Caenorhabditis elegans: one gene and its partners. The protein of the gene in region 2 interacts with the protein of the main gene of each other region in a pairwise test. Each region holds a gene or a part of one and is shown on either strand. Other genes may lie near its edges.

Region 1 (3,755 bases), on a different chromosome or scaffold from region 2:
CTTTTCAGCATTAGATGCAATCAAGTGCTGCTCAGTTTCGGGATCGAAGTTAAATCGAATTTCTGCAGGATTTTTGATTGATATAACTGCAGACGAAACATCAGCAGATTGTGATTCTTCGGAAGTTGAAGGTTCATCTGAAGTTTCATCTCGAGGATCGGCGCCACTGAAAGATTGAAATAATTAAATATTGCATTCCAGGCAGTACCAGAATTTTTTGGAGTAAGACTCGTCAATCGTGTATCTGATATCTTTTATAATTGGTCTCTCGATCTCTTGTTCAGCTCCACTATGGAAGACAGGTAGTTGAGATTCTTCAAAACCTGGAGCATAACCAAGTCGTTTGATCTGAAATATATAACAAATCAAAATGAGTTGTTTAAAAATTTGTTTAAGATTAGGGCAGGTACTCACTTCTTTCCAGTATTCACTTTTTTAAAAATAAAAATATGGGAGTATAGCGGAAAATAAGAGAAAGAAAAATTATACTATCAGAAAAGAAGCGACTCCGTATGTCCTAATTAGAATGTTGACGGTCTCAAAACTCGAAAAAAAAATAATAACGAACTCTAGATAGCATATCCTTGCACCGATTTGCGACAAATTTCGTTTGAAAATCATGAAAATCATTTTCAGATTGCTTCTTGATCAGTTTACAATGTTTCGTGTAAATATCCTCAAAGGTCGATTCGGGATTTTTCTCAATCATTGTCTTGGTGATCTGTTGATAGTCTGGGTTTTCCTAAAATAAAATGTATGAGACAGAATGAATTGAATTGGAAAAATTACCAGAATATCCTTATGCTGATCAATGGGATAAATTGGTTTCATCACTTCACATTGTTTCGTCAGCTCATTCCGATTTTCCTCCGTCATTTGATTTCCGAAATCATTAAGCCACGTAATTTGGTGCAACCAGTAGCTCGAAACATCCCAATATTCTTCGAAAGACCGATAGTTGTACCTGCCCTTTTCTTTCTTTTTTTTCATTTTCCGCTTATCACAAGTCCACTTTGGTAGAACCTCGTATGGTGTATCTCTCTCGTCGAGTAGTTTTTCTTCTCCTGAAAATCTTTCGAATTATAATCAAAAGTACTTCTCCCCATATAATATCTCACCATTCGGTTCTGTATCAATTTCCTTCAGGCTGATCTCGTCCATCTCTTCTTGAAGTAGTTTCTCAGGTGATTTTTCTTCTCTTGGCCGTTTACTTGCTTTAAGAAGCTCGTAGTCTCTTTAAAAAAATTAATTATGAAGGGAAAAACATTATAAAGTAAGATTATTATGAGAATGGCGCAATTGTCACAAAGTTTTCTATATTTCAGATATGTAGAATTCTTAACGGGTAGTATATTTCGAGAAATAGGTTTTAAAAATACTATATTAGCGGAGGGGCATTTAATATACTCCTTTTAAATGAGTTTCCGATAAAAAAATATCTCAAAATAAAGTACGGAAATATCTACTCAATAGAGCGCGTTTGTTCATTAAATTTTTCTACAAAATTTTCAATTTCCAAACATCAAAAATTTATTTAAAAAGTAATCGTTATAAAATCTCACTTTATATAGGCTCTGGACAAATCTCCCTCAACAAAAGACTCCGAGTTGTCAGTCTCCAAAAATTGTATTCCAAAATGTCCCATTAGACACCAAGGCCATTGATAATCACTCTGCTCCTCGCTGACACTTTCCGATGACATTCAAATATTGATTTGCTTACTAGAAGAAAGGAATATGGATTATATTCTTTTTTGCAATGCCACAATCAAAAACGAGTTTTTCGAAATGTGTGAAACTAGATTGAGAGTGAAGAGAGTATACAGAAACAAAGATATTAGGGATTATAATACCGAACAGAGGGTGCAGACACAAATACATTTTGCAATTGTTTCGCAATGACCCAAGAAAATGCTTTATTTAATTTAATTACGGAGGCCGATACATAAAACTTTAAATATGGGAATAATTTTTAAACCAGGAAATGAAGAAAAACGATCCGTAGCGATTCAATATTTTGATAGACAAAAAATAAATGTGACAAAAAAGAATATGATAGAAAGTATTATGAACATTTTTGACCGTTTCATGAGAAAATCAACGGATTAAATAAAAATAGTATTACGCAAGTGTTGCCTTCTTGTAGGCGGCTGCCAGCTTTGGATGAATCTTTTCTGCGTTTTGGAATGTGATTATCTTTCCTTCAGAGGAACCGATTCCGAGGAATCCCTTCTTCTTTTCCTGGAATTTACAGTATTGAACAAAAATATTTTTAAAAATATTATATTACCTTCAACAAAATTTTGACACCATTTGGAATAAACTCGGGCTCTTTGATCTTACAGTACTCTGATCCCCACTCTGTCTGCCACACACCCATCATATCAGTACGTTTGCTGAGAACCAATCGACGGTCCGTTATAATGAGAACCATTTTTTCGCTGATAGATGCGTAGGTGACAAATTCATCAGTTTCAGCGAGCTCTCCACGATCTGTGTCTTTGAACACTTTGAATCCATAAGCGTCTCCGCTCGAATATGGTTTGACGATCTTGTCTTCTCGGAGTACACGGGGTGGTCTGAGTGGTCCGGCTTCTCTATTTGTTCCAGCAACTGCACGAACCGAATTCATGGTACCACTGGCAAAGTCTACAACTCCCGAGACAGGACGAGTAACTACACCAATGAGACCTTTTCCAACTCCTTTCACAAATCCAAATCCTCCTTCCTGTTTTGCTCCTTCTATTGGTTTCGTAACAACACCAGTTATTCCTCCAACAACTCCCATTCCAAGTCCTTTGAGTCCACGAGCCATACCTTCACCAAATGATTGTGGTTTACGATTTAGATCTTCTTGGCGTTTTTTCATGTAATCATCGTCAAAAGTAAGCGCAGCGACTCCTTTTCCGACAGTTCCAGTGATTCGGCCAACTGCTCCAGCAGCACCACCAACAGCATGTCCAAACATCGATTGAACACCGAGTGCAACTCCGGCAGCGAATTCCTTTAAAAAATAAAAATTATATGAAAAGATTATATCTAACCAATACCTCTGGACCCTGAATAGCACCTTGGAATGGCTGATAGAAAAGATCTTCAACTCCAGCAGACAAGTCACGAACGAGACCGAATGGATTTCCAATGATGTCGAGTCCTAATACAAGTACATAAACTTGTTTAATGAACTGTTTGGCATAATGAGAAATAATTTCGCTATTCAACTGCTCTGGACTATAAAAGACACATTTACGCTCGAAATATGCAAGTTTGAAAACGACGTCTTGAAGTTCTGTTAGTGTTACTCCTACAGATCGAAGCAAAACATTGATCATTTCTGATTGGATAGGCATGCTTACTCCTGAAGCTGCAACGTCTCCAGAAGTTCCTCCCTGTGAGAAAGAGAGATGCATCATAATTGGAGAAATGTGAAGATCGTTGTAGAAGCTCTTGGGGCGCTGAGAACGGTATGTGCTTGCAGTTTCAGAGAGTGTAACGTGGCAAATTTTGATATCTTCGTCGAACATTTCTTTCTGAAAAGATATCATTAATGAAATATTTTATTAAAACTACTAACTCCATATGGTTTTCTTGTCACTTCTCCTGATATGAGCAAAAGAAGCGCATTTATGAGTCCTTGATCGACTTGAACCGAAAACTCTTGAATAAGAACATGCCCGTATTCAATCTCGGCAATCGACGAAAATTCAGGTTGTCTCTGTAGAAGTGAAAGTTCGATGAACGGCTTTGGAGCTGAAA
Region 2 (3,668 bases):
AGCTACCGTAACCAGTCGTTTAATTTTTTTTCAGTTTTTTCCTGGTTTTTCTCGTGTTTTAATGGCTTTTATACCCAAATGCGAATGAATTGCCTAAAAAATACGGTGCCGAATGCACATGGGAATGCGCCTTTAAAGAGTACTGTAATTTCTAGTTTTTGCGGATATATTATCGATTTTTTTAACTTATGGTTTTTTTAAACAGTAAACACATTTTTATCCAAAGTCTGAAAAATCGACAAAAATTCAGGAGCAATCAAAGTTTGAAACTACAGTATTCTTTAAAGGTACACACCTTTGCAAAGTACTGGAGTGGTTACTGTAGTTCAAAAGTCTTACTCGTGTCAGGACCCAAAGCTTGAAAATTAGCTTAAAGACATAATTATTAATTTTTTACTCGTTATTTTCGATATGACCTAAATTTTGAAAACTCTGGGATGTAATCGTGGCGAGACCCACTTTTTGGCCACATATTTCTCCGCGGATTTCCTAGCCATTTTTGCTTTTCGGAACAACAAATTCGGCTTGATCTCCGCAAAATTTCGGGCGGTCCGATGCATTTTTCTGAATTTTTCTAGATTATTGATTGCTAATTGTCCTTAAAATCGATATTCAAACTTTGCATTTTACTACTACGTTTTTCAAAAATTAATTTAAATGGAAAAAGCGTTTATTTATTTTGAAAATGTTTCAAATTATACCAACAAGCAATAATTGAACCACAAAATTCGAAAACAAAAAGAGCAACATGAGATTCAAATACGGAGAGCCTTGAGAGTTTCGGCAGATTTTTGAATGACGGAAAGAAAATCCATGACACGAGCGACTTCTTCCGTTGAATTGAGCCGATCGGTGGCCCATTCGAGCTTCTGAAGGACTGCAGTGGTGGCTGATTCAATTGTATCAGACGATGATGGCTCAGCAGCAGCCGGAACAGCTTCCTTCTTTTTCGCTGGAGCAGATTTCTGGAGCACTGCTTTTTTCGCTGGTTTATTCACTGGAGCCGCTGGGGTTGGGATCTTGTTGTTCACAGCTTCATTCAGGTCTTCGTCTTCTGAAAATTTATAGGTCTATAGATTTCTGGGTCTCGCCACGAAATGTAAGACATTTTTCAGAAGATCTTTAGAAATTCAAATAAAAAAATTTAAATTTAATTTTTAGTAATTTTTTGCGACAAAATCCCTTACGCAATGAAACCTCGCCGACAATAACCGACGATTTTTCTCTGAAAAGTTCACAGGTGACGCAACGACGCACGAGAGCTCGGTCCTCCATGAGAATTCCCTGAAAAAAAAAAATTTGAACTGAAATAATCAGTCAGTGGCCACGTATTACCGGAGCACAAAATTCTGAGAATACGTATTGCACAACATATTTGACGCGCAAAATATCTCGTAGCGAAAACTACAGTAATTCTTTAGAAGGACCACTGTAGCGCTTGTGTCGATTTACGGGATCTTGATTTGCAAAAATTGAGCCCGTAAATCGACAAAAGCGCTACAGTAGTCAATTAATGAATTACTGTAGTTTTCGCTACGAGATATTTTATATTTTGCGTGTCAAATGATTTGCCCAATACGCATTCTCAGAATTTAGTGTTTACCGTAATATTAGTCTTCATCTTACACTGCAAGTCGGGCAGTACTCATCCAACATCGTCTGTCCCTTTAACAAAAGTTCGCCCATTCGCTTCGAGACCTCATCTCGAAAGCTATCTCGGAGACGAATTGACGCAGCGTCATCATCACGAATTCCGTTGATTGGTGCCATTTCGTCGAGATAATTGCGTGCCGCGGGATGTGGGGTTCTGTCAATCCACGTGGATTCTCGTGTCGACGTCAGATTCACAAACTTCTTGTGGACCATAAACTGAGCAACGGAAAAGCTGGAAAAAAAAAGATTTTTTCGATTTTTTTTCGATTTTTCTGGTTCGAAAATTCGAAATTCTGAAAAAAAAAAGAGTATTTCGCCGATCGATAAACGGAAAATTCAAAATGTTTCTAAAAAATTTAAACGAAAAATTGAATTTTATTCGGATTTTTAACCAAGAGAAGGAAAAAATAACAAAAATGTACACACAGAAACAGAAAAATTGAGCAAAACGCAACGTAGAGGAGGAAATTCAGAGAGAAAGTACGAAAAATTGAAAGTGGAGGGAAAATGAAGTGAGTAGGGCCATTTGCACCTTTAAATTTGAATTTTAGGGCGAAAAATGCCAACAATTGGGAGGGGCTTTCTCGGGAAAAAAAAATGGCATTATTTCTTTTTTTTTAAAGCAATTTAAAGGCACATGGCAGGTTTGAGTGATGAATATAGCACAATTTTGAACATTTTTTATACACATTTCCACATTTCTACTCGACTGGCGTACGGAAGAACGATGAATCGTTGGCGACCTCGATCAATTCGTCGTAAGACCCAAAATGACTCGTGAAATTTCCAGTGTTGTCCTTGTAGAATTCGTGTCTCCAGTACGTGGCGTCTGCGCAGATTGCGATGATACTTTGCAGATTTTTCGGCGTTTCTGGAACTTTTTTTTCTTGAAAATTGGGCATATGTATAAATATTCAAATAATTTTAAATTTATATTATGAAATTAATAGTCGTACGGCTACGCTTTCAGATAATTTGTTTCGATGTTTAGAAAAAAAATTTCGCTTGGAAAATTTTCAAAAATATTGAAAAATTATTTTTTGAGGGCAATTTCATTTTTTTCGAAATTTCTAAAAATAAAATCGGGAACATTTTGAATTTTTAACAGAATAATTTCTCATTCGTCTACAAAATGGACATGATTTAAAAAAATTAATATCAGATCTCTAAGCCGAATATTTTCGAATTTATTTTGGAAATTATCTAGTTTTTAATAATTTTTTTCGATTTAAAAAAAATAAAAAACTAGTTTTCAAATTTTTTCAGAAAATTCGGAAAGGTATGTTTTTTGGTTTTTTTTTCGATTTTTTTCCATATCAAATTTTTAATAATTTCCAGTAATTTCTTTAAGTTTTTCTCATAAAAATCAACATGTTTTTGATAAATCCATAGTTTCCTCGCCTTTTTAAAAATTATTTTTACTAATTTTTTTCGATTTTAAGAAAAAACTTAATTTTTTTTTTTGAAAAATATCAAAATTTCAATAATTTCCGGTCATTTTTTAATAGTTTAAAGGCAATTTTCTTTTATTTTTCGGAAAAATAACATATTTTTTGATAAAACCATAGTTTTCTGATTTTTTTTCGTTTTTTTTTAAAGAAAAAATCGACAAATCGAATATTATTGATTTTTGATTTTCTCCTATAAAAAAACCGAGATATCTAAAATTTTTTATGTTTTTTTTTCAATTTTTTGGAAAAAAAACAGTACATTTTTTTAAAAGATTTTCTCCAAAAATCCAAATTAGGAGTGTTCTTATCCAAAATTTTTCAAAAATATTTCAAATCTAACTTTTTCCGAATCCAATAGCCATGACAGGCCTATCCAGCTGAATTTTCACAATACTTGAGCTTCCACGGCTCCTTTCGAGCACATTTTTCTTTTTTTGTGGCTCAGCATCTCGAATTCCAAACATATGCAGAGTTCCCTTATCACTAGCCACTGCCAAATAACTCGAGCACGGTGAAAAAGCCATACACTGAAGGTGAGCCTGAACAGTTCCACGACGAAGTTCA
Region 3 (3,755 bases), 6.1 Mb from region 2:
AATTTCACACAAAAAATATATCAAAAATCCATAAAGACGCTCTAAATCGACGGGTCGACATCAATCGTTATCAAAAAAGAAACACAATATGATAAGAACTGGAATTTTTAACGATGCAATTCATACGATACCATATTTGCCCACGTTTTTCGCAAACATATGGTTACGTAAGAAAAATGGTGCAAACGGAGAATTGTTAAGACTCCAAGGTCTGGAGGTCAACATTCACTTGAAAAAATGAAAGAAAGATAGCTTATCGTGTATTTCTTCGTCATAGAAAGGTGCAGATAGAAACAATGAAGAATCAAAGAACATGGAGAATCGACAGACCTCCCATTCAACTGTTGGCTTTTGTGTGCTCACACCATCAGAAAAATGAGCAATCTTTTCGTTTTTTATTTTGTCGGAGCGTCGGGCACAGCGAAAAAGGAGAGCAAATGGATTGTTTAGTTAGAACGATCGACAACGAGCAGGCGCACTTTCTCATAGATCAAACATTTCAAACTTTTAAAGGAACGGCTAAGGGTTCTTTTTTTTTTAAATTAATTATCATGAATGACCAGAGGGTGACAACAAAATATACATTTTCGATAGAAAGTATTTCGATTTAATGTGTGATACTGATAAAGAAAAGATTGCAGATGAAACACGTTTCACTTCGAATTTCATGTGTACAGAGTTCGTTTTTATAACCAGCACGAAAAATTATCGATAACCAATTTTGCCGAGTGACTCAGACTGATTGTCTCGAAATTCAGACTTATTCCGGGTTTATGACGTCAACAAATAGGTGCGCTTCTCATAGTCATCATAAAAATACGGTCATTTTATGAAAAAATCAATGAACATTTCAGTTCTTTTACTCTAAATGCTCACGAATTTGCTTCTCAATGGCATTTTAAAATGCAGCTGCTGGTGACGTTTACAAAAAATCCTGCAATCAAAATTTCGATTTGCCGGCTGTATCCACAAGCTCAGACAATAACATCAACTCTTTGCTTTTTTAAAATGAAAATCTTGTTACAACTATCAAAGCTATTCCGAAGTTTATCAAGATTATGGTTTACGTAGTTGAGGTGAATTTCAAACGTTAAACCGAAATAATTTTAAACTATGCTGCAGACGAAACTACACAGCAGAAGAAAATGAAGGACAGCGACCAAAAAAGGAAAAATCGGAAAGCAAACACGGTTTAGTTACGACGAAGAAAAGGGAGAAATGTGGACATTTTCTAGACATGAATCGAAAAATGTTCATAGAGAATCACCAGAGGAAAGAATTTCGCTAGGAATTTACTTGATATTAGGAAAGGTTTTCTAAACTAAAATATATTCAACTCTCACATGATAATCATAATAAGTTTAAGCTATCTAATTTTACGAGGTGCGCGCTGAATTCTGCCAAAAAAAAAAACGCACCAACGACACCAGTGGTTCCGTCTCCAATTTCGTGATCTTGAGACTTGGAGAGCTCAACCATAAGCTTGGCAACGTGATGTTGCACATCCATTTTCTCCATGATAGTGGCTCCGTCGTTGGTGATGGTGACATCGCCGTCTGGAGAAACGAGCATCTTGTCGAGTCCACGTGGACCGAGAGATGTGCGAAGAGTGTTGGCCACAGCACGAGCGGCAAGAATATGACTCTGAAATAATGAAGTTAATTTTAAGAACAAACTTCAGGACTTGTCAAACATGAAAACATAACATTTAGAAACTAAATGTTCCGGTTAAAAAAATAATTATTACATACTTTCACAGCTTCAACTCCGGTGATACGCTTCTGGTTCTCCTGCTCACGCATAACGATGAACGGTTGCCCGCTCTCATCGAACAGTAGTTGCGCAGATGACTGCGCCATTTTCTTATCCAAGTTCCGTCTTGACAGACACTGAAAATATTAGCATGTTAAAAATTTTAATTAAGAGAAAATTATTTAAGTATAAGTTGTTGAAAGAGAATTGATTTTCAAAAATAAGAAAAAGAAACGAAATTCAGCATTTCGAAACAATGTTCTCGATATCAAACCCGCAGAATATTCTCGAGGAATGAATAAAATGAACGAAAGAAAATTGGAATAGCAACATTGGCAGCTGTTCGGTTATTCGGGATCTTCTCGAAGAATTTTAAAATGCAATGATACCAAGAACACTGAAAATCGACCTAAAATGCTAAATCTGAGTGCAGAGCGGACAGAAACTGGAAATAGGTTTGAATTTTAAATTTCTGGATATAATTTCATCAGCCAACTTAAAAAAACTGAGGTGAAATGAACGTTTTTTGACGAAAAAAATTGAAAATCTTCTAGAAAAATGTCACATGTGCAATTGCGCGTCATGGTGTACGCGGCAAGTCCGCAATTTTTGACCGTAGTCGCAGAGAAATTCGGCGCCACTATTCTCGATTTAAATTGAACAGTGAAGGGAAAGAATTGGGTCTGAAATTATTTAAATAGTCAAATTTAAATAGTTAAATTTAAATTAAAGTTTAAACACTATAGCGAGAATAAATTTTATTTATTTAACAAATAATTTTCGCCTTTTTTAATTGAAAGTATTGAAAGCGTGAGTGCTAAATAGATTGAATGTGGAGATAAGGGGGGAAGGTTTTGAAAAAAAAACAAATAAAATTCAGTTTCAATTTTACGGTGGTCCGAGTTGGTGTTTGCTTCAAAAACCAGCGTTCGAGAAGTATAAGAAAAACGAATGGTAAGATCAAAAGGCTTGAGGAATATCTGAGAATACCGGTGTTCAGGATCGCTTAATTAAAAAAATCGATAAACGGAAAAAGAAAGCGGATAAGAAGAAAAAAGAAAAATCGACTCAGAAGAAGAATAGTCTTGAAAAGAAGAACAAGAAGGATAAAAAGAAGCAAAAGGAGAGAAAGAAGAAGAAAGAGGCACGAGATTCTTCAACTTCTGAAGAATCTGAAGAATCGGGTGAAAGTCAGAGACAGCTCGAGAAAGTCAAGTCAAAATTAGCAGTTGATGCTGCAAATATCGATAAGAAGGTATACATTCCGGATTTCTGAACTTTTTTGGATACTATTACACGTTCGGCAGACTGTTGCATTGGAGTATCGCGCATCATACAGTTTCAGGGTTACTGTACCTTCGAAAATACGCAAAAACCACGAGAACTACGGCATTTTGCGGTGTTTCTGCAATTTGCCGGCAAATGGAGCCTAATACATGCCTATTTAGGCATGCTGTAAAGTTATGCTTGATGGTGTTAGCGGACCTGGGAAGCTACCGTACTCGGAAAAGGTGTTGCAGAGAGCAAACTATGCCCAGAATTATACTTTCCTACTTCCAAATGCTTGATGAAAGTGGCAGCCATGAGGCAGGCGTAGGTCGCCTTTATGCCTACTTTTTCGGTTATAATTTGATATTTATGTACTCATTTTCAGTATCGCATGGCGGGATCTCTGTTCCGAAAACCGGAAGATCCTCCGAACTTTGCCCGGAAAGTGCTGGAAGCCGAATGGCGAGAGATGTATGTCGATCCAAAAGTCACAATTGAGACGGTGAAAACATTGAACACTTACCTCAAGACACGTGCTGAATTGAGATCGACGGATCATGTGGTCATTGCTGAGAAGTTAGTGGAATAAGAGTTGCCTCGCAAAGTGCCTACCTGTGCCTTTATCAAGCCTAACTGCGTGTCTACCTTATGCATGCCTACGTAAGGCATCCATGCCTACATAATTACTTTATTCCTACCTAGACGTCTACTTTATGGCTACCCGTGTGCCTACT

What was found.
Region 1: the proteins of Y39A1A.3 (region 2) and tgs-1 interact in a two-hybrid assay, tested with the Caenorhabditis elegans proteins (one large-scale study listed by BioGRID).
Region 3: the proteins of Y39A1A.3 (region 2) and cct-5 interact in a two-hybrid assay, tested with the Caenorhabditis elegans proteins (one large-scale study listed by BioGRID).

Annotation. Positions count from the first base shown.
Region 1 is NC_003279.8:8,903,746-8,907,500, forward strand, and holds the start of tgs-1 (Trimethylguanosine synthase), read right to left. Parts: upstream 1,703-3,755; coding exon 1,563-1,702; intron 1,235-1,562; coding exon 1,119-1,234; intron 1,065-1,118; coding exon 790-1,064; intron 743-789; coding exon 569-742; intron 349-568; coding exon 209-348; intron 167-208; coding exon 1-166. Other genes in the region: vps-13A (Vacuolar protein sorting-associated protein 13), read right to left, coding at 2,121-2,240, 2,290-3,003, 3,050-3,529, 3,574-3,749.
Region 2 is NC_003281.10:10,594,603-10,598,270, forward strand, and holds Y39A1A.3 (Sjogren's syndrome/scleroderma autoantigen 1 (Autoantigen p27)), read right to left. Parts: upstream 1,886-3,668; 5' UTR 1,867-1,885; coding exon 1,627-1,866; intron 1,285-1,626; coding exon 1,188-1,284; intron 1,055-1,187; coding exon 756-1,054; 3' UTR 656-755; downstream 1-655. Other genes in the region: Y45F3A.9 (rRNA methyltransferase 1, mitochondrial), read right to left, coding at 460-560; epg-6 (Ectopic P granules protein 6), read right to left, coding at 2,355-2,530, 3,445-3,668.
Region 3 is NC_003281.10:4,506,226-4,509,980, forward strand, and holds the start of cct-5 (T-complex protein 1 subunit epsilon), read right to left. Parts: upstream 1,890-3,755; 5' UTR 1,860-1,889; coding exon 1,752-1,859; intron 1,645-1,751; coding exon 1,419-1,644; intron 1-1,418. Other genes in the region: F25F2.1 (Protein kinase domain-containing protein), read left to right, coding at 2,704-2,706, 2,753-3,007, 3,407-3,597.